Linked DNA regions of Cricetulus griseus. The protein of the gene in region 3 interacts with the protein of the main gene of each other region in a biochemical or structural test. Links are inferred from orthologs where the notes say so. Each region holds a gene or a part of one and is shown on either strand. Other genes may lie near its edges.

What was found.
Region 1: the proteins of Ctnnb1 (region 3) and Axin1 form a complex in vitro, tested with the Homo sapiens proteins (2 studies listed by BioGRID). The link is inferred for Cricetulus griseus from reciprocal best matches to the Homo sapiens genes CTNNB1 and AXIN1.
Region 2: of the proteins of Ctnnb1 (region 3) and Ube2b, one has a biochemical effect on the other in vitro, tested with the Homo sapiens proteins (2 studies listed by BioGRID, with this or other methods). The link is inferred for Cricetulus griseus from reciprocal best matches to the Homo sapiens genes CTNNB1 and UBE2B.
Region 4: the proteins of Ctnnb1 (region 3) and Magi3 form a complex in vitro, tested with the Homo sapiens proteins (2 studies listed by BioGRID and IntAct, with this or other methods). The link is inferred for Cricetulus griseus from reciprocal best matches to the Homo sapiens genes CTNNB1 and MAGI3.
Region 5: the proteins of Ctnnb1 (region 3) and Hnf4a form a complex in vitro, tested with the Homo sapiens proteins (2 studies listed by BioGRID). The link is inferred for Cricetulus griseus from reciprocal best matches to the Homo sapiens genes CTNNB1 and HNF4A.
Region 6: the proteins of Ctnnb1 (region 3) and Erbin interact in a test that uses a peptide from one of them, tested with the Homo sapiens proteins (2 studies listed by BioGRID and IntAct). The link is inferred for Cricetulus griseus from reciprocal best matches to the Homo sapiens genes CTNNB1 and ERBIN.
Region 7: the proteins of Ctnnb1 (region 3) and Tax1bp3 are reported together in a solved structure, tested with the Homo sapiens proteins (2 studies listed by BioGRID and IntAct, with this or other methods). The link is inferred for Cricetulus griseus from reciprocal best matches to the Homo sapiens genes CTNNB1 and TAX1BP3.

Annotation. Positions count from the first base shown.
Region 1 is NC_048600.1:45,818,566-45,822,065, forward strand, and holds part of Axin1 (axin-1), read left to right. Parts: intron 1-1,529; coding exon 1,530-1,637; intron 1,638-2,877; coding exon 2,878-3,045; intron 3,046-3,500. UniProt on the Homo sapiens protein: Component of the beta-catenin destruction complex required for regulating CTNNB1 levels through phosphorylation and ubiquitination, and modulating Wnt-signaling.
Region 2 is NC_048600.1:66,264,708-66,268,838, reverse strand, and holds the start of Ube2b (ubiquitin-conjugating enzyme E2 B), read left to right. Parts: upstream 1-1,331; 5' UTR 1,332-1,409; intron 1,410-1,725; 5' UTR 1,726-1,750; coding exon 1,751-1,794; intron 1,795-4,065; coding exon 4,066-4,131. UniProt on the Homo sapiens protein: E2 ubiquitin-conjugating enzyme that accepts ubiquitin from the ubiquitin-activating enzyme E1 and transfers it to a E3 ubiquitin-protein ligase. In vitro catalyzes 'Lys-11'-, as well as 'Lys-48'- and 'Lys-63'-linked polyubiquitination.
Region 3 is NC_048597.1:228,008,207-228,011,706, forward strand, and holds part of Ctnnb1 (catenin beta-1), read left to right. Parts: intron 1-712; 5' UTR 713-766; coding exon 767-779; intron 780-1,125; coding exon 1,126-1,353; intron 1,354-1,513; coding exon 1,514-1,767; intron 1,768-1,884; coding exon 1,885-2,123; intron 2,124-2,213; coding exon 2,214-2,415; intron 2,416-3,500. UniProt on the Homo sapiens protein: Key downstream component of the canonical Wnt signaling pathway.
Region 4 is NW_023276806.1:52,925,966-52,929,465, forward strand, and holds part of Magi3 (membrane-associated guanylate kinase, WW and PDZ domain-containing protein 3), read left to right. Parts: intron 1-304; coding exon 305-443; intron 444-1,211; coding exon of another isoform or gene 1,212-1,261; exon of another isoform or gene 1,262-1,302; intron 1,303-1,865; coding exon 1,866-2,926; 3' UTR 2,927-3,500.
Region 5 is NC_048599.1:15,981,617-15,985,732, reverse strand, and holds the start of Hnf4a (hepatocyte nuclear factor 4-alpha), read left to right. Parts: upstream 1-1,316; 5' UTR 1,317-1,482; exon of another isoform or gene 1,483-1,544; intron 1,545-4,116. UniProt on the Homo sapiens protein: Transcriptional regulator which controls the expression of hepatic genes during the transition of endodermal cells to hepatic progenitor cells, facilitating the recruitment of RNA pol II to the promoters of target genes. Activates the transcription of CYP2C38.
Region 6 is NC_048595.1:322,068,691-322,072,190, reverse strand, and holds the end of Erbin (erbin), read left to right. Parts: intron 1-90; coding exon 91-165; intron 166-1,094; coding exon 1,095-1,202; 3' UTR 1,203-3,136; downstream 3,137-3,500. UniProt on the Homo sapiens protein: Acts as an adapter for the receptor ERBB2, in epithelia. By binding the unphosphorylated 'Tyr-1248' of receptor ERBB2, it may contribute to stabilize this unphosphorylated state.
Region 7 is NC_048600.1:86,945,780-86,949,896, forward strand, and holds the start of Tax1bp3 (tax1-binding protein 3), read left to right. Parts: upstream 1-1,317; 5' UTR 1,318-1,434; coding exon 1,435-1,473; intron 1,474-4,117. Other genes in the region: Emc6 (ER membrane protein complex subunit 6), read right to left, coding at 502-834. UniProt on the Homo sapiens protein: May regulate a number of protein-protein interactions by competing for PDZ domain binding sites. Binds CTNNB1 and may thereby act as an inhibitor of the Wnt signaling pathway. Competes with LIN7A for KCNJ4 binding, and thereby promotes KCNJ4 internalization.

The DNA.
Region 1 (3,500 bases), on a different chromosome or scaffold from region 3:
CCTTGCCCAAACTCAAAAGACCTCTCTTTAGGAAGCAGTATTCTTGGAGGCAGAAAAGGCCTTCTCTGACCCTTTTATTTTGGCTTTGAATCACTTGCCTGGACATTCTGGCTTATTGGAATTCCCAAGTGGGTAATAGTCTCCATGAGGGCTTAGGATCTGTTTCTTACCCAGTCCCTGGAACCATGGTCACACAAAGGCCATTATTGCCCTTTGAAACTATCACCTCCTTTATTCAGCTTGGGTTGTGTACATTCTGGGGTCTGACCTCACTTCTAAGAGTCCTCTTTCCCTGGGATGCTACAACTCTTGACTGGCAGACTCTGCACTTATGGTCTCTAATAGAGTCAGGCTGTAATTGCCCCAGGAGCTTAGACATCTTCCTGGTCACTTAAAGTCTCCTGGACCCACACCAGGCTCTGAGCTCCAAAAGAAGTCACAGCTGCCTTAAATACAAGGGACCACTTTGCCACCTGTTGTAAGCTATGGTATACACTTGTGCTACCTGTTCTGTGCAGGAAGTGTTCCTTCTGGTGCTGACACATTGCATGTATCTGGCAAGGGTCTGAGTCAGTGGAGTAGGGTGTCATGTGGGATCTTCTAGGAATGATGCCCTCAGAGGCCTGGGCAGGGTGTGCTCAGAAGCCAGTGTTCCTAGGATGCAGGATTATTTTGTGGAGTAGGGTATTTTGGGAGTTAGGATTCTCTTGTGATGCAGAGGTTGCATCTGTTCATCCTACCATTACCTGGCAAACCCCATATGGCAACAGCTGTGGTTTTCTCCTGGCCTGTAGCATCAGCTAAACCCTTCTTGTTTGTGTTTTGGGGTATGAGAATACCATCACCACACACATACACCCCATACCATCAACACACACACACACACACACACCACGTCTTAGCTGGTGCCCCCACACACACACACACACACACCACGTCTTAGCTGGTGCCTCCAAAATCTTCATGTGTGAAGAAATTGAATGTATTGAGTCTATTTGTCTGGAACTTTATAAGCAAGTCTAGATGTATGCAGTGAAAGGCCCAGGCCTTGGCAGGCCCTGTTAAACTATATCAGATAAAGTCACTATTAGGGACAATAGTGGCATACCCAGGTAGAGGGTTCTCTTGGAAAGGCTCTGTCATGCTGGCAGCAGCTCCCCAAGAAACAGTGTCACTGCTTCTGTCCATGTCTAGTATCCACATCATCTTCAGGAGGTCATGATGAATCTGTGTAGAAAGAGCCACATTCCTGGGAGGTGTCTTGGAAGGCCTTCTCCAAGAACCTCTAGCTGGAGAAGTCATCTGAGCAGGAGGTGAAGAGAGCCTGTAGCACCAAGACCAGCCGTTCTCCAGGGTGTATTCCAAAGAGCAGACTGGCATTGACCCTGTGTCTAGACACTTAGGGCAGGGCCTCTGATGATATGTGAGTGGGAGTTGTTGGCAGCTAGTTCCTGCTGCTCACCCTATCTGGGCACACTGTCCACAACACTGGCTGAGCCCCATCTTCTTTGATGCGGGTTGTTCCCTAGGTATGTGCAGGCAGTCATGCAGCGGGGACGCACCTGTGTCAGGCCAGCATGTGCACCGGTGCTGAGTGTGGTACCAGCCGTGTCGGACTTGGAACTCTCCGAGACAGAGTACGTGCGCCCTGTGGGTCCTCCTGGTTCTGCCCAGCCCAGGCCAAATCCCAAAGTGGAGCACCTATTTGATAGGCTTTGTCACTGAGCTAGGAAGCATCAGGGCTGGAGAAAGGCCTGCTGTGGCTTCTCTCTCATGTCTCCCAATAGAGGAGATCATGCCTGTTCAGTGTAGACATGATCAGTAGGCCTATAAGTGGTTCATGCAGGCATCACAGCTTGCCTTTCATCTCATCTTTATTCTCCTGAGCTTCTGAGCTAGCTCTGGGGACTGGTGGGTCCACTACCATTCTACACAGGATCAGGTCCACATTTCTAGTCCCCTTGAAATAGCACTAGGAACTTGCGGCAACTTTATAGTAGCATCTGGATGGTGTGACTACAGCCAGGACTTAGGCTCTGCACCTCCGCCTGCCATAGCCACATTTAGGTCAGGGGCATTTCTGACTATGCCCTTCCTGCTCTTACTCAAGACAGGAAGATGAGGATCCCCCTTGGGCCTTGGGGCCTCTGCAGATGGCCCTCCAGTTGTTCTGGAGAAGTAGGTCTCCCCAGGTTTAACCGCCAGAAAGCTTCAAAAGCCCATTGCTGGAAGAAGGTCTGAAAACCTGGAAAATTACACATCCAGAATGCCCCGTGTATTTTACTTGGCCAAGAAAAAGCAGCCATGTGGCCATGGTTGAGGCCAGCTATGGAAGCTTCTGGAGTGATTAAAAAGTACAGGAATACAGGAGCAGACTCAGAGCAGCTACACAGCCCTTTGAGGACCTGAGTAAGAAACAGCTCAGGCCTCCAATCTGCTTTGGAAATCCTGGTCCTAGGGACACTTCCTTTCCAGATCTGTGCAGCTCTGATTGGTCCCTCCTCAAGACTTATGGAAGTTTGGAGAGGTTGGGACTTGTCAGTGTTTTGAGACCAGCCCCCTTACAACTTTGGAGATAGGACTTTGTGAGCCGAAGGCCTGGTCTGGTTATTGTGGGTATCTGTGTCCACTTTACGTGGTCTGGATGGTGAAGTGCTTCTTTTAGAGCTAGACCTCTAGCTTATTTTCTAGTGAGTGGTTTACACAGGACTGGCACCCAGATTTTGGGTAGGTGGGTGGCTGGGCCTGTGAACACCACATTGCTGAGTGAGATGCTGACCCTGGGATGTCTTGTCCTCTATTGGTAGATGGTACCTTTGAGGTACTCTGTGTGACCTTGGCCTGAGCCCACTACTTACCACTCTGTTTCTGTCCCAGGACAAAATCACAGAGAAAGGCAGGTGGCGGGAGTGCACCCCCATGTGACAGCATTGTTGTGGCCTACTATTTCTGTGGGGAACCCATCCCCTACCGGACCCTGGTGAGGGGCCGTGCTGTCACGCTGGGCCAGTTCAAGGAGCTGCTAACCAAGAAGGGGAGCTACAGGTGAGAGGAGAAGCTGCAGCCATAGGGCATACTTGCCCAGCATGCAATTTGGTTTTCTGTTCCACTGCTCTTTTCTCTTCCCCTTCACCCTACTTCCCTCAGCCATGGCTGCTGCTTTCTGCTCTTATTTGGGGCACATCAGGGTTGGATAGCATCAGGACTGGCCCTCTTTTCTAGCCGCAGACCTCTCTCTCACTCCTTGTCAGCCAGCTCAAAAACTCCAGTAGTAAGGTTACTGATACCTGAGTGACATGGGAGCCTGTCAGCCCTCCTGGTGTCAGCCCATGTGGATGGCAGAGCTGGGGACCCAAGACCTCTGCTCTTCCTGATTCAGAAGGCTATCAGCAACCTCCATACCCACCAGAAGCCAGGATTGGGATTCCCAGGGGTTTTATAGCAATTTTCAACATACTGTTAACTCAGCCCTTTCAGTGGTCCCAGTTCTACCCCAAGTG
Region 2 (4,131 bases), on a different chromosome or scaffold from region 3:
TTGTGCTCAGCATGTCATACCCGGCTCAATAAATATTTAAAGGGCCGTGTAAGGCCCTGGGGTTCTATCGCACACCTCAAAAAGGAGAAAAGAACACTTAACCTTTAACTTAGTCGCATTGTGAGTGCACAGCAGCGGCTAGGGGGAGTTAGACCTACCTAACAATCCTCAAGGTTACTTTCTTTACGGTGGTGGGGGCGGGGAAGATGAGACGTCCTCAGGCTGCCCAGGGTGGCCACCATTCCACTGTCACTGAGGCTACCTTTAAACTCCTGATCCTTTCCACTACCTGAACGGTGGGATTAGCAGAATGCACCAAGTCATCGGGTTCTCAAGGTTACTTTAAATGAAGAGAAAATTCAGAGTTTGAAGACAGTGGCAAACGTAAACCGTTCCTGGTTTCATGGAAATATAGGCAGGAGTGAAGCGGTGGATTCTCATTCCTTTCCTCCTTCTACAGCTAAGAATTCCGCGTCTACTAAAATGTTCGGTACCGTAGAGTAGCAAACTGGAACTAGAAACGGAGGGTGGGTATTCTGTGACTCGGAAAAGGAGAAGCCTGCAGGGTCAAGGCTTTTGAACTGCTGCACGACCGGGTTCTTCCTGTCCTTTTGCACTCTCCTTGCAATTATTTCAAAACCCATAATGAGTTATCTTAAGACTCAAGAAATACCTCCCACTCATGTCTGCTCGATCTCTCCCCGATCTGAATCATTTTTGAAGGTTTCTTTGACGACCAGCAGCCCATTGATATGCTCTAAAGTCACACCTCCACATTGTGCCTCAAACGCAGGCAGATTCAGATCCCAACTAAGGAAAGTTCTGTGCAGTCTTTAAGGGCTATTCCAGTCTCATCTCCGTATCCCACTAGCACCAACAGGCTACTGGTCCCAGTGACCGAGAGCCCATCTCATCTGCGCCGACCTTAGCATTCAAAGCTGTTTATTGTAAGTCTACGCGACCCTTTCAGTACCTGCTCCACGTACCAGAGTTGCTAAGTCACTTGAAACAGAATTAAATCCAGATTTTTTTTTGTTCCGTTTTAAAGACTTAGAACGCAAGCGGCTCCTTCCACAACGTCTCCTTAGGCAAAGTCCTTATACTTGGGGCCAAAAGAACAAGGTATAACTAGAGGTGTCAAGCCCAGAAACTCAACGACCTGCCTCCTTAGACCCCAAACCAAGAGCGAGTCGACGCTGTCACGTGACCTGTTCTAATGGCGTCACAGGAACACGTGGTTCTAGATACTTCGCTCCCTCCCCCTCAGGGGTGGATTGTTGACAACGCCGCCAGTGGTCACGTGACCTGACGTCATCCCACCTCCTCTCCCTGAAATCTCAGGCTCCGGATGCGTCCGTCTCTCCCCGTCCGGCCGAACCTGAAACTAGCAACGGGGGGAGAGAGTCGAGGTAGCATGTGGCCTCCAGCGGCCTTGACCCTGCGGTGTCCAGCGTGAGCAGGGAGCGGAGTCTGCCCAGCTCCCCACAGGAAGACGGCCCGGAAGACGGCCCCTTGCGCCGGCCGGTGCCGCGCGCGCGCCCGCTCGCCCCGCCCCTTCCCCCCTCCTCCCGCGGTGGTACTGGCGGAGGGCGGAGGGATCTGGAGGCGGCGGAGGGAGACGTCATTGCAGGGTTGTTTGTGCAGTCTCGGCGGCGGCGGCGACCCACAGTGATTCGGCCGCTGCGCCGGGGGGTGGGGGGGCCGAACGGGACTCTTTTCTTTCAGACTGACCGCGGGGCAGCTGCGGAGCATGTCGACCCCGGCCCGTAGGAGGCTCATGCGGGATTTCAAGCGGTAAGGGCCCTCGCCTTAGTCCAATATGACGGCTCCTTCCCGAATCCGTAGGACTGCAGGGCGGGGATCCGGGACCTATTCCCCTGTTGACCCTGAGGGGGTGGACTGTGGGCCTCCGGCATCCGCGGCAGTCCCGGTTTACCGGCGGCTCCCACTCCTCCCTCGCCTGGTACCTCCTTTTGAGTAAAGATGGTTGGTACTACTGCCCCCTGCCCTTCCCCCAAAGAAGTAAGAAGGCCATCGCTGGGCCTAGGTGTCCCCAAGGCCCACCTAGGCCAGCTGTCGCCGCCTCATCTCCTGCCTCTGTGCCCTGCGGCGTCCCCTCCCCAGCCGGTGCGAGTGAGCTCCGCTTGAGGCTGGGGCTTCGCTTGGCAGACCAGTCCAGCTTTGTTAGAGCGCCCCGCGGCCTCCCGTTTGGATTGGGGTTAGGGTGAATATTGCCCCATGTCCCTTCCCTTTCTGCAGTGATGAGGGTGGGGTCTGCTGCGCGAGGGCCGGAGGTGGTTAGCCCATCCCCCGAAACCCGATTCTGCCCCCGCCCACCTGGAAGGACCTTGAGAACTGGCTCGGGAAACCTGGGCCAGGAGATGGTCACTCGTGCTGCCAATGCCTTCTGGAACTGAGATCTGGCTGCCGAATAAAAGCCTATCTATAGCCTCCCTAGCCTGGAAAAATGCCTTCCGTCAGCCTGATGCTAATCTGATACTCCACCTGGGCGTTCTTTTGGAAAATAGTGGTTTGTTGGGAAATACGGGGCTTGGAGGAAGAAAATGACCTTTTCCCTCTTCCAATTGTTTGTCTTTCTTTGGAAACGTACAAGTGCAGAAACTACCTGAAGTCCAGCGTCCAGATAGTCTTGTTTTCTTTTGGGGGCAGACTTGCCGTGATTGAGACAAATCTGTAATATAGAAACTTAGATTTGCCGCTCAGGAAGTAACCTCTTAACTTCGCCATTATAGAGCCCTGTGTGAAGCATTTAGAAGCCATTGTCTTGGACCCTAGACATTATTTAATTCATTTGTTGATGCTTTTGGCCACTTAAAAGTGGGGAGTCAAGCAGTAAGTAGTACTTCCTGTAAACCCTATCAGCGGCCTAATCTGCTTGAGAGTGACCAAACAGTACACTTTTTATGTGGACTTGATTGCCAAGTGTCCTACCATCTGAAAATAACATATTTCATTTGTGTGTGTGTGTGTGTGTGTGTGTGTGTGTGTGTGTGTGTGTGTGTGTGTGTGTGAGAGGGAGAGGTAGAGGTTTTGTTTTTGTTTTTTAATCTGACAGGAAAGGATGCCCTTTTTTGGTGCAAAAGTCACCCAGGGCTTGAAGTCACCTTATTTGATTAGCTCCATGACTGAAACGCAAATAAAACTTCCCAGTTATATCCATTGTTATCTCTTGCTCGTTTTTTTGCAATTCTTTTATTTGATTTTAAGTTGGTAGTTTTCCAAGGATCTTCAGGTTACAAGAATTTGATGATGACGTCTGTTGGAAGCTCTGTGAAGTCCTGGTCTGAGGTAGATTTGGCCTTTGAACAGCTTTTAAAATTGGCTGCTTGGAAAACTAGCAGGAGCTTCCGGCTACTTTAGAAAGCCACTGTCTGAAGCACAGGGCACGAAATAAAACTTGCTTTCTAGTTAAATTGAATGTGGTTTTTAGTCATTTAGAGTATACAGAGATTGACTACAATTCTGTGTTGTGCAGTGTCTGTGGTTAGGACTGGTGATCCTTGCATGGTTGAGGTAGGAAATTTGCAGGTTCTCCCTTTTTCTTTGTTTTTTTGTTTGTTTGTTTTTGTTTTTCAAGACAGGGTTTCTCTATGTAGCTCTGACTGTCCTAGAACCCACTATGTAGGCCAGGCTGGCCTCCAACTCACAAGATATCCACCTGCCTCTGCCTCCTGAGTGATAGTTTTCTAAGGCATATGCCATCACCACCCAGCACAAGTTGCTGGTTGTCTAGCCATATTTTTTACTGCTAAGATTATAACTCTTCAGTGGGTTAAGAGTGCAGTCTGGAAACATGGGTCTTCAAGAGACCACATCTTAAATCTTGTGGTTTGAAGAGGGATGATCTCTTAGCCCTTTGGACTTAGAGATCACTTGTACTATTAATAAGTTTATTAACCTGGTTGATTCATTTAAGTTGTGGTTCATTCTGGCTCCATCGATAACAAGAAAGTCAATCTAGCCAGTCTTTCAGAATAGGTTCAGTAGAATTTGACCTTGGTGACCTTTATGTTAACTCTGAAAATGACCACTCTGGATTTCTAGATTGCAAGAGGACCCACCCGTGGGGGTCAGTGGTGCACCATCTGAAAACAACATCATGCAATGGAA
Region 3 (3,500 bases):
TTGTGTTAGCTGTAGTGCAAGATGACCCTGCTTGGGACACACATTAATAATGGAAATCTGTTCATACAGTACCTAGAGACCACGAACCCCAAGCTTCCATCTGGTTCTTAGTGATTTGATATTTTTCTTCAATATTGTACAGTAAAACTAAAATGCAGACATTACTTAGACTAAAATTTACCTGTGAGAAATGTTACATTCTGTTGTTGATCCTAGGGGCAACTGCACCAGTTGCCATGGTGTGTACATCACTGCTTGAACTCATACAAATCTTTTGATAAATGTATTTCTATTTGTGCTTCAGACTTTGACTTGACAAGTAATTTTGCTTCTTAAATCGCCATTCTGATCAGTGTTATATCAGCAAAAACAACTGATTTGTTTTATAAAAATTTGGTGTTTTTTAAAAACTCCACTGTCTCCATGGCCAGCCCAGTCTGAGTGTCTTTAGCCTTCAGGAATTCACAGAGCAGTTGAAATTTGAATATTGTTCCTTTTGCTGGCTTTCATGGGAGAGCAAAGGAGTTGTTCTCTCTCAGCACCTGTGTGTCTGCTGAGACATGGCCTTCACTCAGAAGGTCAGTGATGGTGGAGCTGTGTTTCAGGGTCTGTGTTTTCAGTGTATCTCATGCTTTTGGTTTGTGTTGGTGGGACATATAACACATGTGGCAGGCATCTGCTTAAATTTTAATGAATTGATTTTTCTTTTCAGGATTATCTGAAGCTTAGTGTACAGCAGCTGTGACACCACACTCGTGCGTGGACGATGGCTACTCAAGGTCTGTGCCCCGGGGAGCTGCTTGTGGCTTCTGTATGCTGCCTTAGAGTCCCTGCTGCTCTCTTGCCCCTGCCGGCTTTGGTTTGCCAGCCTACCTGTTGCTGTTCTGCTTACTACTACCAGCTTGGTGAAATAATCAGCAAGCTACCCGTGGGAGTCTAGCTTGAGTGATTCTGGAACTTGAATGCCACTGGGTTGCCCCTGTTCTACCATGGAGCACACACTGGCTATCATTCTGATCTCCTTGGTTGCTGAAATACGTTTCTAAATGTATTTCAATGGGTCATTGTCATGGATATTTTATTCAGGTATCATTTTCAGTGCACTAAATTGTTTTGTTTTTACAGCTGATCTAATGGAGTTGGACATGGCCATGGAGCCGGACAGAAAAGCTGCTGTTAGTCACTGGCAGCAGCAGTCATACTTGGATTCTGGAATCCATTCTGGTGCCACCACCACAGCTCCTTCTCTGAGTGGCAAGGGCAACCCTGAGGAAGAAGATGTGGACACCTCCCAAGTCCTGTATGAGTGGGAGCAAGGTTTTTCCCAGTCCTTCACTCAAGAGCAAGTGGCGGGTAAAAAGCATTTGTGTGTTTAAAAGCTAGAGTTGGGTTTCTTAGCAAGGGTGTGTGGTGGCAGAGACACACAGGCACAAGTGAAAAGCAGAGGAAAGTCGGGTGCATTGTTACTTAGCACTTAGGACAGTGAAGTCTCACATGGATTTTCCTTTCCCAGATATTGACGGACAGTACGCCATGACTCGGGCTCAGAGGGTGCGAGCTGCCATGTTCCCTGAGACCCTAGATGAGGGTATGCAGATCCCGTCCACACAGTTTGACGCGGCTCATCCCACCAACGTCCAGCGCCTGGCTGAGCCATCCCAGATGCTGAAGCATGCCGTTGTTAATTTGATTAACTATCAGGATGACGCGGAACTTGCCACACGTGCAATTCCCGAGCTGACAAAACTGCTAAATGATGAGGACCAGGTAAGCAGTTACACAGCTTGCTTCCCGTTTACTTTGAGGGAAACTGAGAGGGTGACGATGGCTGTTCGATGTCAGTATTTGGAAACTAATGGTGCTTCTTCACCCCCTGTACTCTAGGTGGTAGTTAATAAAGCTGCTGTTATGGTTCATCAGCTTTCCAAAAAGGAAGCTTCCAGACATGCCATCATGCGCTCTCCTCAGATGGTGTCTGCTATTGTACGCACCATGCAGAACACAAATGATGTAGAAACAGCTCGTTGTACTGCTGGGACCTTACACAACCTTTCTCACCACCGTGAGGGCTTGCTGGCCATCTTTAAATCTGGAGGCATTCCTGCTCTGGTGAAAATGCTTGGGTAAGAAAGTGGTCGGTCACATAACCAGAAAGGTGGGAAGAAGAAGGGTGCCAGTATTGGCTTGACAAAGGTTCTTTTCTTTCTTCTCAGGTCACCAGTGGATTCTGTTCTGTTCTATGCCATCACGACGCTGCACAACCTCCTGCTACATCAGGAAGGAGCTAAAATGGCGGTGCGCCTAGCCGGTGGACTGCAAAAAATGGTTGCTTTGCTCAACAAAACAAACGTGAAATTCTTGGCTATTACAACAGACTGCCTGCAGATCTTAGCTTATGGCAATCAAGAGAGCAAGGTAAAGTCATGAAAGCTGTTAGCATGGGGCACAGAGGCTCCACAGGCTCCAGACTCACTGACCTGCCCTTTGTGTGCACCCTAGAGGAGCTGCACTCTGTCCTCTCAACATTGAGTGTCTGTGTGCACCGTGCTGTGCATCGCACTGAGTGGACACGAAAAGGCCTCCAGAGTCTTTACCCTTGAGATAATTGCCAATCTGACTAGAAGGAAGGGGTTCAGTACACAGAAGAAACATTGTTCTGAGGGCCTTGTGGAGATGCTTGAGAGGCAGTGAGGTGTTTATAGTAGGTGGAGGCAGGTGAGAGAGAGGAAGGCATGTAGGGAAGCCCTGAAGGGGAAGGAGGGTGGTGTGGGTGGGGCTTTCAGAGTATAGTGCTTGAGAAAGTTTTGGGGTAAGGCTGTAAACACATAGTCTGGGTAGACCTTGTGAGGCTTGTAGGGCATACCAAAGACCAGGTGATGTAACTTTGAGCATAGGTATGAAATAGATCTGCTTGTGGAAATGTTTTCTGCAGTGTTTTCAGAAGGTCAAGGGCAGAGGCTATGGGCTCTTAGTGCCCATTTTCAACTGGCAGTTCTGACAACTTTCACTACTACAGGCAAACATGGTTGCTTTTCATATTCTTTTTCTTTATGTTCCATTTGGGGAGATGGCCAGAGTTGGTGTTTTTTTTTTTTTTTTTTTTTTCCTCTAATGGTTTATTTCTTATTAGTTTACGTGCATTGATGTTTTGCCTGCATGTGTGTCTTGGTCGGGGGTGGTATGTCCGATACACTGGAACTGGACTTAAGAGACAGTTGGGGATGCTGGGAATTGATTGAGTCCGGGTTAGTAAGTAGTGCACAAGTAGTGCTCTTAACTACTGAGCCATCTCTCCAGCCCAAGTTGATGTATTCTTGAAAGTGTTGGCATGCCTGGACTTGAGCAGAATACTGTAGTATAGAAGTCACATACCTAGGACCCCCCAGTTTGAGACCTTGCGTCAGAGAGGTCCAGAGATACACTTTGATGTGACACAGTAACTTGCTGATGGGTTCCTCTCCAGCATTTCTGGAGTTGTATGACACTAGTTGTACGTCTTC
Region 4 (3,500 bases), on a different chromosome or scaffold from region 3:
CTTTTGCCTTACTAGAAATCAGTCTCAGGGCCTCACACATGTGGGAAAATCAGAATTTGATTCTTGATTAAGGCTCAGATACTGACTGGTAGCCACATAAAACTTTCCCACGTAGAATTTTTATAAAGTAAATAAAATCATGCATTGTCTCTCCTTATTGCTGTCATCTGTCCACCTATTAGCTATCTGTCCAGGTTAAAGATTTTACAAGTAAGAGTGAGTTAGCAGAATTGAAGGGCTCTGTTGACAATGTAGAAATGAAAAATCCTGCTGTTTCATACAGTTGTAAATGTTTCTTGTCCAGGTTGGTGACCAGATTGTGGAAATCAATGGGGAACCTACACAAGGCATCACACATACTCGAGCAATTGAGCTCATTCAGGCTGGTGGAAATAAAGTCCTACTCCTGTTGAGGCCAGGAACTGGCTTGATACCTGACCATGGTAAGTAAAGTAGCTAAGCATTCTTGCTGGGGAGGGGATGGCAGAAGGAAAGGGAATACCCCTTTGGAAGAGATGGACATTTTATTGGCTAATTTAGAAATGAACACCAGAAACACCTAAGAAAGTTACTATAATGCAAATGATGTTTCCAAATAGTATAATTGTTGCAGTAGAGCATTTGTTACCTTTATTTCATCTGAAATAGTGCTTTTTGGAGAGAAATGTGCCTATAAAATATGAGAACATTAGAGACAAACAAATGTCTTTAGAATAACCCAGCTTTTTTCTCCTTTGCTAATTACACTTTGCCAATAAATATTATTTTCTTAAAGTAAGCTTATCTCAATGAGTGAATGCCAGAACTTTAGGATTTTCTAGTCACTTATCAAAATAAGTTGCTGTAGCCCTACTACCTGGAGATAGGGAGTTAAATCTAAGATCATGTTTGTACTCCTGTATTGATGGTAAATGCCCTTGGCTTTATTATATATTTTGAACTGTCAGTGTTTTAAAAATCACTTTGGGAATGCATGATCCGAACTAAAGGCAGTACCACACCTGTTTTATATGTGTCTCCCTGCATAGCTCCCCATCAGAGCTGTTGTAGAGTAAATGTAGACATAACCTCCTATGGTCCCTTCCAGCTATGATTCTCTGGCTGTGTTACCTTTCACCATCTGCTCATACAGCACACATTCCCATGACATCTGTGCTAACTGTGCTGGTTTGTTTTCACATAGTCCTAGGCTTTTTCTCTTCCTTCTTCAGGTTTGGCTCCTTCCGGTCTGTGCTCCTACGTGAAGCCTGAGCAACATTAAGGCTTTCAGGGCTTTTCTTGGTCTTTCCTTAAAAAGACTTGGTAAATTTGCATGTCTTTTAAATCACTTCTTTCATTTTCTTTTTAATTAAAATGATGCTATTAAATACATCTACTTCTGTCTTCTGCACTTTTTCAGTCTTCTTTTGACATTAAATTTGACAGCCTAACAAGAAAATTATTTACAGTGCCCATAAACCTCATTTGGGTTACCACAGTCTGGTCTTTTTTCACTAGTGATTTTGGCATATCCTTAAGTTAAACAGTAATAATAGATTAATTAGTAAGTTTCTTGGACCAGGTACTTTGGTCCAATTTTATTATTTCTATCTTATTTGGCTTTATGAATAATTTACAGCTCATATATCACCTCTAACAGTACATAAGTGAAACAATTATTATAACAATCTACCCTTCATACATAAGCAGATATCTATAAGCATCTGCCTTTACAGAAAGTGACTTAAATATATACAAGTTATGTAACATATTCCTCCTTGGGCTATGCAACCTGTAACATATTCAAATGGCTGTCAAAGTTCAAAACTCACTGTTCCTATTCATAATTCTTGAGTGTAACTGTGTTCTACTCAATCACTTTTTAGGTGATTGGGATATTAATAGTCCTTCATCTTCCAATGTCATTTATGATGAACAGCCACCACTTCTCCCATCTTCACATTCTGCTTCCGTATTTGAAGAGTCTCACATGCCAGTAACTGAAGACTCTCTGATTAGAGTTCAGATATGTGAAAAGGCAGAAGAACTAAAGGACACTGTACCAGAAAAGAAAAGCACTTTCAGTGGAAGCCAGCCTGAAATGAAGCATCAGACCGTTCTCCAGAAAAATGTGAGTAAGAAGGATCCACCCAGTAGTCAAAGGCATGGTGAGAAGAATCTACTAAAAGGAGAAAATGGTGTCACACGAAGAGAGAGATCTGCTAGTCCCAAAAAGTCAGCTAATCAACATTCAGAGGAACATTTGGAAAAGATTCCCAGGCCCCTAAAAAGTGACCCCAAAGGAAAATCTAGAGATCGGTCACTCAGCCCTAGGAAAGGAGAGACTAAAGGTCAGATCACCACTAAGGCGGGTTCTGGACAAGATCCCTGCAGAAAAGGCAGAGGACGATCTTCTAGTCCCAAGAATCAGCAAAAGATTGTAGGCACTGGCCCGTCAAACACTGAAAGCCAAAGGGCAGCAGGCCATACTAGTGACAGTACTGAACAGCTCCCAGATGGGAAAGAAAAATCGGGTGTTGTCAGGAAAGATCTGAAGCAGAGTCAACTTGGAAAAACCAGAACAAGGTCTCCAGAGAAAAAGAGCAATAAAGTTGATGAAACATCTCTTCCATCCAAAAAGATCAGCAACACTGCTAGTAGGGCGGTGTCTGAGAAGGAAAAAGGAAAGAAGCCAACCACAGGAGAAAATGTCCAGATCTCAGCAAAGAAGCTCAAGCAGGAACCTGAAGAGAAGATGACGTTAGGTAAAGCAGAAGATCACAAAGGGAAAGAGCCAGAGGCCACTGACAGATGCAAGGAGCGTGCAGGGGGCATACCTGAAAACAGCTCTCCAGTCAAAAAAGCTCCCATCACTCCAGGGCCCTGGAGAGTGCCACGTGCAAATAAAATCATAGGCCCTGCTGGCATGGCTGACAAACAGCTATGACCTTTTGTATAATACAAAGAAAATTAAGTTGTAATTTTTTACTCAAACACAGCATTCTTTTAAGGGGAAAGGTGTCCAGATAGTCTTCAATACCTAATTGAAGCATCAAGTTAGACAGACTGCATGAAAGTCTTCTGGGATTCCTAAGACCCACCTGGCCCTGGCTGGCTGCCCTTCTTCACATTCAGGAAGGAGCTGCAGCCATGGGCTCATCTGCCATGCCCTGCTCAGGCTGCCCGCTCAGCAATGACATGATCTTAGCAGTATGGTTACAACTCACTTTGTATTCGTGCCAAGTTACCTATTGTATCATGTCTGTTTTATCATTCCCATTCTGATATTTCCAGTCATGAAACAGTTCGGTTTAGCTTGAAGATGTTTCCAATAGCATGTTGCATGCTTACAGAGAGAAATATTTGAGTCCTTGCAGAGGAAGAAATTGTTAGCTCATCATTAAAGTTGGCACTTGCCGATTTTCATAGCTTCTGACCATCCTAGTTTAAAAATGCAACTCAGAAAGATCACTACATTACAGGAAAAATCAAATATTAAAGATGCTTTTTTTATGGCTAAG
Region 5 (4,116 bases), on a different chromosome or scaffold from region 3:
AGGGCATTGACTCTTCCAACCGGAGGCTGCATCTTCATGAGTGACCCATGACATTCTAGAGTTGGAGTAGCTGTCTCCAAATAAAGCCGAGGGCTCTGTTACATCACCTGCAGCTGAGTGAGCCCCCCACCCCCACCCCAGCATCCCTGGGATTTATTTTTATCATATGGAGAGGATTTTTTTTTCCTTCCCCATGGGGTTCATGCTGTGATTCAAAGACATTCAGGTAATTGTGTTTTGTTTCTCTGTTTTAAGACAAAACATGTAGCCCATGCCAGCCTCTCTCTCCAGCTCAGGCTGGCTTTGAACTCCTGATTCTCTTGCCTCAGCTGCACTGGTGCTGGAATCATAGGTGTGTGTCACTGTGGCCAGATGGGGTTTGGATCTTTATACTGTCTGTGTTTTGCAGCCAACATCTTTGCAGCACTCACGGTGTGCCAGACAAAGTTCTAGCCCTTCATCTACACGAATGCCAATAGTCTCCACGATAGCCCAGAAGACTACACATTATCAACAACATTTGCAAGTAAGAACACCACAGACACAGGCCCAGTGCAGTGGTAGTGTATGCATTCAAGGCCAGGAAGTCTAGGCCCAGACTTTGTTTCTTGAGCCTTGGCATGCTGCTACACTTTCTAGGCATCTCCACTTTATCTTGCAGAGTTTTTATTTTGCAGACCAAGGACACAGAAGCATTTAAAGGCAAATAATTTTAAGTTAGGATATAGCAAAATGGTTTGTTTCATTCTGACTATTTTCTATTGCCCTCTACTTAGGGAATGATATTTCACTTGAGGGGAATAACATTTCCTTTGAAAATAAATCCAGCAGCTGGAGATGTAAGCCCGATTGATGGGGTGGGGGTCTAGCGTGTTTGAGCCTCCCGTCTTTATAACTGCATAAAAACTGGCCTGGTGTCGCATTCCTTCAGTTCCAGCACTAGAGAGGTGGACCAGGAGGACCAGAAGTTCATGATCATTCTCAGCTATATAGCAAGTTTAAGGCCAGCTTGGGCTACGTGAGACCCTACCTCAAAAAGGAAAAAAAAAAAATAGGGGGGTTTATAAAATAAATCTAAGTAAAAAGAAGTGACTTGGTGCAAGAAAATTTGTATGTAGGTGACATTAGGGACGGTTACCAATACTGGTCTCGGGGGAAACACGTGATGCTTTTAGGAAGTCTGTCCCAACTGATTTGTTAGGGCTAGTCTGTGGCAAAACGCCTGGCTCCCCTTAGCCGGTCTCTAGCTCTCTTAAAGTGCATGTCCCTCCTTGGTTAGCAGGGGGCGCTAGTACACACCCTTGTTTCCGTAAGGAAGCACCTAGTCTCAAAGCTTCGGACTGGGGCAGGCACAGCTTGCTTTTCCTGACATCTCGCTGGCCCAGACAAGTGTCACAGTCAATCTACCACCTGCCTGTAAAGAGAAAGAGTAGACCAATGTGAGCAGTCCCGGGTACACTCGGAGCAGACTTCGATTTGCAGGTCCTTACCCACCAATGTCCTGCACGTGACCTTCGAGTCCCTGTTCCTAGGGACCCGAGAGGGTGAGCCTGGCAGCCCCTCTAAAAACAGATCCTCCACGCCTGTTGGTGCCGACTCTTCATAACTGGTCAGGCTTTATCTAGGTTCTGAAGGGAGTTGGGCTGGGGCTAGGCGTTGGCTGTGTTTTGTTTTGAACGCACAGAAGAGCAGCTGAGTAGCTGGAAAGCAGAGGAAGGGAAGGGGAGAGCAGCAGCTGACAGCCTCGTGGAGCACGAGGTTTCAGTCCTCAGGAGACCGCTGGAGGAGCGCTCCTCCCCTCTGAAACTTTTAAAAACTATTTTTATGTGTCCATTAAGAAAATGGCTTATTAATTCACTTGCATGCACACACGAGTGCTCGTGTGTTTGTGAAGGTCAGGGAACAGTTCAGGAGACTGTTTCTCTCCTACTGTGTGGGTACCAGGGATGGAGCTGAGGTCATTTCACGTGTTTATTGTGTGTGAGTGTAAGTGTGGCAGTGAAGTTATCTCAGAGATAACCAGTGAGAGAGGGTTCTGTCTTCCTGCCACGTGCATCCTGGTAGCCATCTTTATCCACGGAGTTACCTCACTGGTCCATTGAAGAACTTCTTTCCTTCTTCTTTTTCGTTTCTCTCTCTCTCTCTCTCTCTCTCTCTCTCTCTCTCTCTCTCTCTGTCTGTCTGTCTCTCTCTCTTTCTTTTAAATACGTGGTCTCATATAGTGCAAGACTATCTATCCTTAAACTCACTATATAGCCAAGGATTGCCTTGAACTCTGCCCCCAATTTCCAAGTGCTGGAATTTTAAAGCGTTTGCCACCATGCCCAACTTATGATTCTCAGACTGTTTATTTCACTTTGCAAAAATTTTACTGTAGGCATGGAATTCTTTTCATTGATTGTCTACTATGTACCAGGCACCGAATGGCATTCTCTTCCTTAAGCACGAATGTAGTATGTATGTATGCATGTATTATGTATTGGGGAAGGGTGTTCTACAGTGATCACAGGGAGATCCAAGGGGAGGAGTTGCTTCTCTCCTTCCACCAGGTGGGTCCTGGGGATTGAACTCAGGTCACCAGGCTGAGAGGCAAGCAGCTTTATCTGATGAGCTCACTGTGGGCATTCTCATCAATTCCTCCTCAAGGGCCTCTTTGGAGAACTCTGTCACACTCCATTAGCTGGCCTTTTCTTTGTCTCATTTGAGCCTGCCCAAGGTTTGGGGTGTACGATGAGGAACGCAGTCAGTGGGCGTCTCCACATCGGGAGCTGGAGAAATGTAAAAAGATCGTCAACAAGTAACTGAACACACCGGCCATTTCAAGTCGGCGAGCAAGGAAGACACAACAGAGACAGAGAATAAAGGTTGAGGGAGGCACAGAACTCACACAAAGTGTGGGAAAGTGACGAGTCTGGGGCTGAAGATCCGCCCTTACTCCAGGGATGACAACAGTCAACAGATGTGCAAAGGCCCAGAGACAGGAAGGAAAACATGGAGAAATAAGATGAGGTTGGAGACGTGGGGACACAGTAGTGAAACCCTCGTGACAGGAGTCTTATGAGCTTTATAAATGCCCAGGACACTGTAAAAGTTTAAAGAGGGGAGAGGTCTGAGGCAAGGTATGTTTGTGCATGATTACCCTCGGGTTTTGAGTGAAGAGGAGCTGGCACAGGAACCAGAGTGGGCAAGGAAGAGTTTGTATAAAGACTTATGCTGGCTTCCAGAAAGCATGGTGATTGTGCCAAAGTTGACTGCAGTGGAGCAGAAAAAAAAAAAAAAATAAGGAAAATTCTAGCTACTGTGGAGGTGGCATGGACTGGGTTGTTTGTTTTTTGTTTTGTTTTTTGATGATCTAGAAGGACAGGAGGACACAAAGCACAAAGATAGGAACTGATTCGGGGGTGGGGGTACGTATGACATGTTGTGATGACGGTGTCGATGATGATGTTAAGAACCTCGGAATGGAGGAAGCCATCCCACAAAGCTTCCAGTGTGTTTAATATGATCCTCGATAACAATTAGGTGTGATTTTTCACTCATATCCTCGTGTTAACTTTTATTTATCTTCATTTTATTATTAGCATACACATGTGTGGTGTATGTGTATGTTTGTGTGAGTTTATGTGTACCGTGTGTGCAGGAGCCATGGAAGCCAGAAGGGTATTGGATCCCATGGAAATGAAGGTATAGTGTTAGACCCCCGGAAAACTCAGGCCTCCAGGATCTCAGCCCCGGACCTCGGTCACCCCAATCAGCAGGCAGATTCGAAAGCTTGATGCAAAAAGCATGAGGCTTTATTGTTGTTTAACGAGCTAACCCCATGTTAGCTCGGGTCTTTCACGTACCTGCCATGGCGGATGGCTAGCAAAGACAGCTCGAAGGGGCTGCACAGAGATCTTGTTGGGCAGTGTAAGGGGAGTGTCTAGGGGTACGCACAGGCTCAGGATTGGTGTGCCTCCAGGCTTGGAGGGCTTGCCCTGTGTTGATTGGCCAATTGGTTGTTATGGCCCATAGGCCCTCCCAGGGTGGTTTCTATGCTCTGCACATCATTGCTGTGCACTTGTCTGTAAAGCACACCCAGAGCCGTAAAGCATAGCACCACCAGCTAACTTCTGA
Region 6 (3,500 bases), on a different chromosome or scaffold from region 3:
TATTGAAAACGGTTTCCCTTGATCCTGAGTCATGCTCTCAATTTGTAGTTTGGCCTTAAATAATTTATTTTTTGTGATTGCTCATTAAAGGGTATATTTGTAACAAGGGTACAGCCTGAAGGACCAGCATCAAAATTACTACAGCCAGGTGATAAAATTATTCAGGTAATTAAATCAACCTTTTTATTATTTTCTTTCATTTTATAATAATTTTATTTTATAGTACTTTCTAATGTTTTAGAATTTTAAATATTTCTGCTTTATACTTGGAAAATCATGCTTATATGTTTGATAGGTCATTTTGTTTTAAATTTTGAAATGTTAATTTTTAATAATTTAGAGGTGAGTTGTCATATCAAATAGTAAAATTTCAAAATCTGAGAAACTACTTTAGTATTTCCACTCCCTAAGTTACATCAGTAACTTACTTTATTTATCTAAGTACATGCAGTGTGGCATTGCCTTAGTACACAAGGATAGTTTACTTCCTCCCTCCTACTTTATTGTTAGTTCCGATAATAGGAAGTAACCTTCAAACCAAAAATGATAGAGCTGTTGAGTAGCTGAAAGTGCAGACCACCTCAGATGGTATCCTTGCTCAGCCCTTCTTAATGTTAACTCAGTGCCTGTTTTCAGCAGTACATACACTTAAGATTGGAGTGATTCAAAGGATGGCATGTGAATTCATGGTGATTTTAAATGTTTTGATTTTTAAATAATTTCAAACTCAGAAAACTATATGACAAAGGTGATCACACTTTGCCACTTTATCTTTAGTATTCACTTTATTGTATAACAGGCTTTCTTTTGGGCCGCCAGCCAGCTTCCAAATCATGACATGAAAACACATGTGCTATATTTCATGAGTGTAGAGGTCCAAGAACACCTTGAAGCTACCAGTTTTCTCCTTCTGGGTTGTTGGTCCCCAGACTCAAATTCAGGGCTTCCAACATGGAGTCAAATGGCCTTATTCTCTGAACCATCTCATCAGCCAGTGGTGTTCTTTTTTCTGACAGGTTGTGAACTGTTTGTCAAAAATTTACAACTAGAAATGCAAATGTATTTCTAAGATTTTTTTTCCCCCTTTCTTCTAGGCTAATGGCTACAGTTTTATCAACATTGAACATGGACAAGCAGTGTCCTTGTTAAAAACTTTCCAGAACACAGTAGAACTCATCATTGTACGAGAAGTTTCTTCATAAGCACTATAGACAAAAAAAAAAAAAAAAAACAAGGAAGATTTATTGAAAGACACTTGCAGGGGAAATGACTATTTTGCTTATTTTTATATATAAAGAAGAACTCAGACAGTTGGCTTGGAACTTGTACATTACTGAAATAATGGAGCTTGTGGTTAGAGGGGAAGAACCACTGTACAGAAGATAAAAGAGACTGTTGAATTCATATATGAAATTTGTTGTTAGGTTTTTAAACTTAGCAAATCAAGGCTACAAAAACAAAATTATGTTGTTTTTGTATAGATTGTAGGTTTATTTTTGGATTTCATACACATGACTGACTGTACGCAAGGCAATAGTTAGCCTTGATTGTAGCCCAGAGACAGATGGCAGAGCTATCTATCTCACAGCTTTTGTGCCCTTATTTTTCTCCAACTGGTATTAATGTTTTTTCTGCCGAACTACTTTTTTCCATGTGGGTAAGAGATTTGAAATGTTGGCTTTTGCTATGTGCATACTGAAGAGTGGCTAGATGAAGTTGGTGCTGGTGGGTTCACTTTCCGAGGCCAGATTAAAACATTATTTCCTATAAAATCTGAGGCTAACAGTGAAAAAAAAAGTTATCTGATAATGTATTTTTATTAATAGAATAATGCAATAAAATACATGACGTCTTTTTAAAAGACAATAATTGCATTTTATGAGCTCTGCAAGATCAATTATTGTCATAGCTGTTGACTATACATTTGCTACTGGTGATTCAATTTTTAATTTTTTTAGTTACTGAAGTTTTTAACTCTAATGTAGATGCATGTCCACACATTTCCCTTACTACAAAGTTCCCTGATATTTTTTCTTTAGCAAATGGTGGTACTTGCAATCTAATTTTTATAATTAGTTTCCATCATAATCTAATTTATAATTTTTTTAAGAAGCAAATGAAACTAAAAGGCCAGTTTTAAGATTGTATATGTTGCCTGTAATACAAAGTTTCAGAAGGTTTAGGAAAGCCTCTTGATTTTGTTCGGCCTGGCATTGCCTTTGTAAAGTGAAAGGAAACGTGGAGTGCGCATGGAGCTAGGAAACCAAAGCAAGTCTGTGAGACTGGCACAGTGATAGAGAATTGCTGTGGAGTTATAGAGCAAAGGGATGGTCCTCGAGGCCTACCAGTGTGTTAAGTGTGCAGATAAAGGGCTGTTCCTACAGATACATTCAATGTGAACTCCACACTTCAGAGTCGTTAAAGGGTTTCTAAATGTGTCGGTGTAATAGTGTTTTACCACCAATTGCCTTTGTTCCCAGTTACTGTAACAAATATTTGATGATGGAAGTTATTAATTTTGTTTATATCCAGATCATTAATTTTATTTGCTTTTGATGTATGTAATCAAATAAAATTTGAATGACATGCAGGGGTAAGAAGTAATGCATGGTTATTTGGACCAGAGGAAAGTGCCATAGAAGACCAGCAACTGTTTTTAGTTGAAGCTAGTCTGGAAACTTTTGTTAGAACAATATTCTGTTCCTGAATTCATTTTTTAATTTCTGAGATGCATAATTTGGGTATTTCTAATGTATTATGCTTTTTTCTTAAACCTTGACTTAGTTGAGATCTTTAGAGGACTAGCTCAAACACCACCTGCATTATTTTTACAAAATGAGTTGGAAACATTTCCATTCCTAGTCAGAATAGTCAGCACTTTTAAAAATATCTGAGCTCAAATATTGCACTCCTTTCAAGTTGTTATAAATTGGGTATTGTACTGTATAGTTTTAATAATCTTGATTGAAACCCTTTAACAACTCTTTGTAAATTTTAACTCATTTTAGTTGGTTTTTCAGTACTATTTACATAGGAATTGATTTTTATGAATATAGTAGAAGAAATGTGCTGTATTTTGATAAAATTCACTTGTATGTGTTGTAATCTCTAAAACAAAGAATGACAGCTTCTTTAATATGTCTCAGTGTTCCCTTTATTGACTTCACATTTTCACAGTCACTTTTAATTAAGCATAATTAAAGTAAATATAATTACATATTTCTCAATGATCTTACCTTAAACCAGAATTGTTGATTATAATTTTGCAAAAGGAATTAAGGGTACAGATGTTATATGCACTATTATTTTAGTCCACTGTGGTTCCTTTTAATTTTGGTATATTCTTGAAAGCTAGATAAGAAAGTTTTTTGCCAAAGTTTGAAATAACATACAATGTAGAGTAAAAGTAAAAAAAAAAAAATTTAAATCGTAAAATTTTGTACTTAAACTAATACCCAAAGTTTTCTTACAGAATATAGGGGGTGGATCGAGACTTAGAA
Region 7 (4,117 bases), on a different chromosome or scaffold from region 3:
CAGACATCTAACCTCTCTGGGCATCAGCAGAAGTTTAACAGTAATGTCTCCATAGAGTTATTGCTAGAATTCAAACATACCCGATGCAAAAAGTACACAGCACGATACCTGCACATAGAGAATGCTTAGTAACACGAACTGTCATCAGTCCTTAAGATGTTAACGTTCTCTCACGTAAGCTCTAGAGGTACCTTTGGATCTACTAGGTGTAAATCCAAGAAAATTACAGGCTATATGGCCTAGGGCCTGCTCTACAGGGAGCAAATCTTGGCGACTTCAAAGCATGGCTAAGCATCAAGGTAGAAAAGAACTCGATAAGGTGTCACACTTCATTTAATCTGAAGAATATTACAGGCTCACTATCTTCAGATATAAATTACAACAGTGCAGAACAAGCAGCGAATTCAAACAATTTAAAAACTAAGTAAGTCTACACGGTGTTAATTGCTGGCAAGAGTCCTGCCAATCTTTTTTTTCTTTTAAGTCACCCCTGCCCTCATTTCAGTAGACGTGCACCATGCCATAGAGGAACGTCCAGAAGAGGACGTAGGTGAAGAGGCCCCCGATGAGGCCTCCTGTAAAAAGAGGTCTTCGTGACTTAAAATATTTGTTCCACCTCCTTCCCGCTTTGAGAATTAGGAGCAGGGAGAGCAGGACGGAGGCAAGCAGGTAGAAGATGAAGCCGTAGAGGCCGGTGAGGCCGAGGATGCCGGCTGTGGCCCCCGACAGCGCTGACACTGAGGTCCGGCAGTAATCAAGGACCGCGGCGTTGCCTCGTACGGCTGCTTCGCTGATGAACGGCGGCCCTTCCCGTTTGGCCACCACCGCGGCCATCGCACCCGCCGGGGCTCCGCTTCTGCCTTCTCGAGGCCTCAACGCGGAACTGCGGAGAAAACCAAGTTACAAGTGGCGCCCGAAGCCCGGCGAGTTGGGCGCACGGCGCCTTCTTCCCCTGGGACCTCCGACACCGCGCCTGGGCCTCTGACCTCCACGGGACGCCCAGGCTGAGGCTCGAGCCGGCCTGGGACAGCGGCACATCGGCACACGCCCGACAGGCTCGCCGAGTTACCTGGAACACCGCGGCACACAGTCCCTCGTGCTCCCTCAGACAGCAGAAAGCGGAACGTTCCGCGCCGCCATCTTGTGCTGGAGGCTGCTGGGAGGGCTCAGGTTGCGCAGGCGCACAAACTCCGCCCCGCCCTCCCACGCTTGCGCCTCGGGCACGCTCCCCTCCCGCCCCACTTGGGCACACAAGTCCTGGGACTCCCGAAAGCCGACCAGCGCTGCAGCTGATGATTGGCTGGGGGCTTGTTAAATATTCATGAGGGGGCGGGCCGAGCAGGGCTGCCCTTTGTTAACCAGGGAGGGCGCGGCCGCGGGCATTCTCGCTGCGGGTCTCGCTGGGCGCTGTCGGCTTGTCAGATTTGAGTCGAAATGTCCTACATCCCGGGCCAGCCTGTCACCGCCGTAGTGGTGAGTGCGCTCATGCGAGCTCCTTCTCCTCTTGGCTCACCCCATTTCGCAGAGCGGCAAACTGACATCTAGACGGGCGGAGAAAGCAAAGTGCCCGGGGCTCTCGTGTGCATTCCGGTGGCCAGAGCTCCAGTGGCCGTTTCGGTTTAGCAGCGCTGCAGCCTTCCCTGGCCGGGAGAGGTGGCTGGGACCTAAGAGCCTCCCGAGACCCAGAGCAGAGGTCAGATCCAGTGCACTGCCGCCGCCGGCTGGATAACGTTTAGCAGGCGCGGACTGGGAGGATGGTCCGTGGGAGTGTTAGAAAACTTCCCCTGCCCTGGGCCTCCGTGTCCCCAGCTGGGCGGCCGCGGGGGGCGGGCGCCGACGTCCGAGAGTGAGTCGCAGCCTTTGGAATGAGGAAGCGTTTCCTCTGCTCCAGCCGGCACACTGCTGCCTCCGCCTAGCCGTAGATTTAGGGGGTGGGACTGGCTAGAGTTTGTCTTAGCAGCCCCTTCCCCCTTCTCATCCGGCCTCGTTCTGGGGACGGACCCCTCGAGAGCTAAACTTGATTTTCTGAACTTTTCAGGATACTCAGCCCCTTGGTTCAAAGTTCGTGTTCCTGTGCGTGACACTTGATGTTCTAGATCTTTCCAGGGTCGCCTTCTGGGTTTGTCTTGTCTTATCAGTTGTATTTGAATAGGCAAAGGGAAAGGCAGGTAGAGGTGTAGCTCTAAACAACAAGGTCAGGGTCTCATGGACCCTGCAGCCCAACCCTGAGGCAGTGGTGGGTATACTAAAACCTACCTTTGAGAAGCCTTTATGCCCTGCCAAAAAGGAAGGACCTGGATCTCTCTCCAGTCAGGGCCTCTCTTAAGCCCTCGCTGGCCTTGAATTTCTGGCAGTACTCTGATTTAGCCTTCCAGGTGTTGGAGTTACAGGTGTTAATCAATAAGCACTCTTGGCCCTGGAGTCCTAACTCAGGAGCTATAGGGACCGGCCATGTTTAGACAGTGTATTGGAGAACTCCCAAAGTTAAGAGAGTGGGGGGAACAAAGCCGCGGGGGGGGGGGGAAGCCACTGATGAAGGTGCTATAGGAGGATGAGATTAGAGCCCCAGCTCAGGCCTGGGCTAGAAGGAAATATTGCTGGGCCAGTGGACAACTTCCTGGTTTTCACTCCACTTGTACCGGCCTGGTTTTTCTCGGATCTCTTCCTAACTGCTCCAGAAAGGAGTTCAGGCTTGACCCTATCTGGAAAAGAGAGGGTGCGAGGAGAGCCACTTTGCTGCCTGACTTCTCCCTTATGTCGGTCACAGGGCTTTGTCTCTTTTTGGACCTTGCTGGTGGGCGTGAAGGGAGGTGTGTGGGGATAGGCACTTACACTTTGGGGCAGGAAGCTCCAGGTGAATGGGCCTTAGGCATCATGTTTCTTGTTCCTCTTCCGTCTTGTCAGGCCAGTCAGAGTCCTTCTCAAAGCTTTAAGTCTGCAGTCCTCCAATCCTGATATGAGGTGCATGCCTGAGCATAAGCCGGCAGATCTGGCCTCTTTCCCGAGTTCTGGATTGCTCATGGGGTGGAGATGCTTCCCTCCCAGTCTTACCCTCTTCAAGTATAGTTAACATCCTGATTCTGTTATAGCCATTTTGTCTCCTCCCCTGAACTCTGGCCCCAGAGGTCTGTCTTCTGGAAGCCTGTGTGGATGGCTCCTGACACTCCCAACTACTGACACTGCACTCTACCTGGGTCCCCAATGGAGTGATGGTTGTGTTCATCTGGACTGGGTCTCAACCTTCCTAATGCGCAGCCCTTGAATACAGTTCCTTATGATGTGGTGACCCCCCACCCCCCGCCCATAAAATTCTTTTCCTTGCTACTTCACAACTCTAATTTTGCTGCTGTTATGAATTGTAATGTGAACATCTATGTTTTCTGATGGTCTTGGGTGACCTCGAAAGACTTGGTTGTCCCCACGGGATGGAGATCCACAGGTTGAGAAGGCTACTGATTTGGACAGATGACAGGGTGCACTTCCCCACTTGCTCATCTCAGTCCTTGTCTGTGGATCAGCACTTATAAGTGTCTTTAGACCTCCATATCCCACCGTGAGAAATCCGTTCCCCCACCTACCACTCCAGTGATCATCCTAGCATCAATGCCTTGCCCTACTCCTACCTCCTTTTTGAGACCCAGTAGGTTCAAGATCAAGGTCAGATGGTGCACTGTCATTTCTCAAGGCTGGGTGCAAATAATCCTCTCTTTGTTGAAGCCTTCCCAAGTCCAGAAAACCACTCCTACTTCTTTGTGTTAAAATTCTCAACTTTGGGGGTAACCTCTGGTAGGTACCTGGAGGATGCTTTCTGAGGGCTCTCCAAGGAGCCTGCCCAGTTGGAGACCCTGACCACAGAGCATGCTGAGAAAGCCCAAGAATAGTGTCTCTTACACCGCATGAGAACAGGACCTAAGGACTGGGGAGATTATATGACTAGGCCTACACGCCAGTCTCATCCTTTATCCCATCTCACCTCCTGGAGACACCAGTCTCCTTGACCAGGAAGCCCTTCTCTTCTTGGCAAGTTTCTTCCCTGCTTCTCCCATGCCCCTCCAGGCTTTCATAATCTCTGTAGGGCTTGCTCAGCAGTCCACAATCTGAGCGGCCTCAGCAGGCA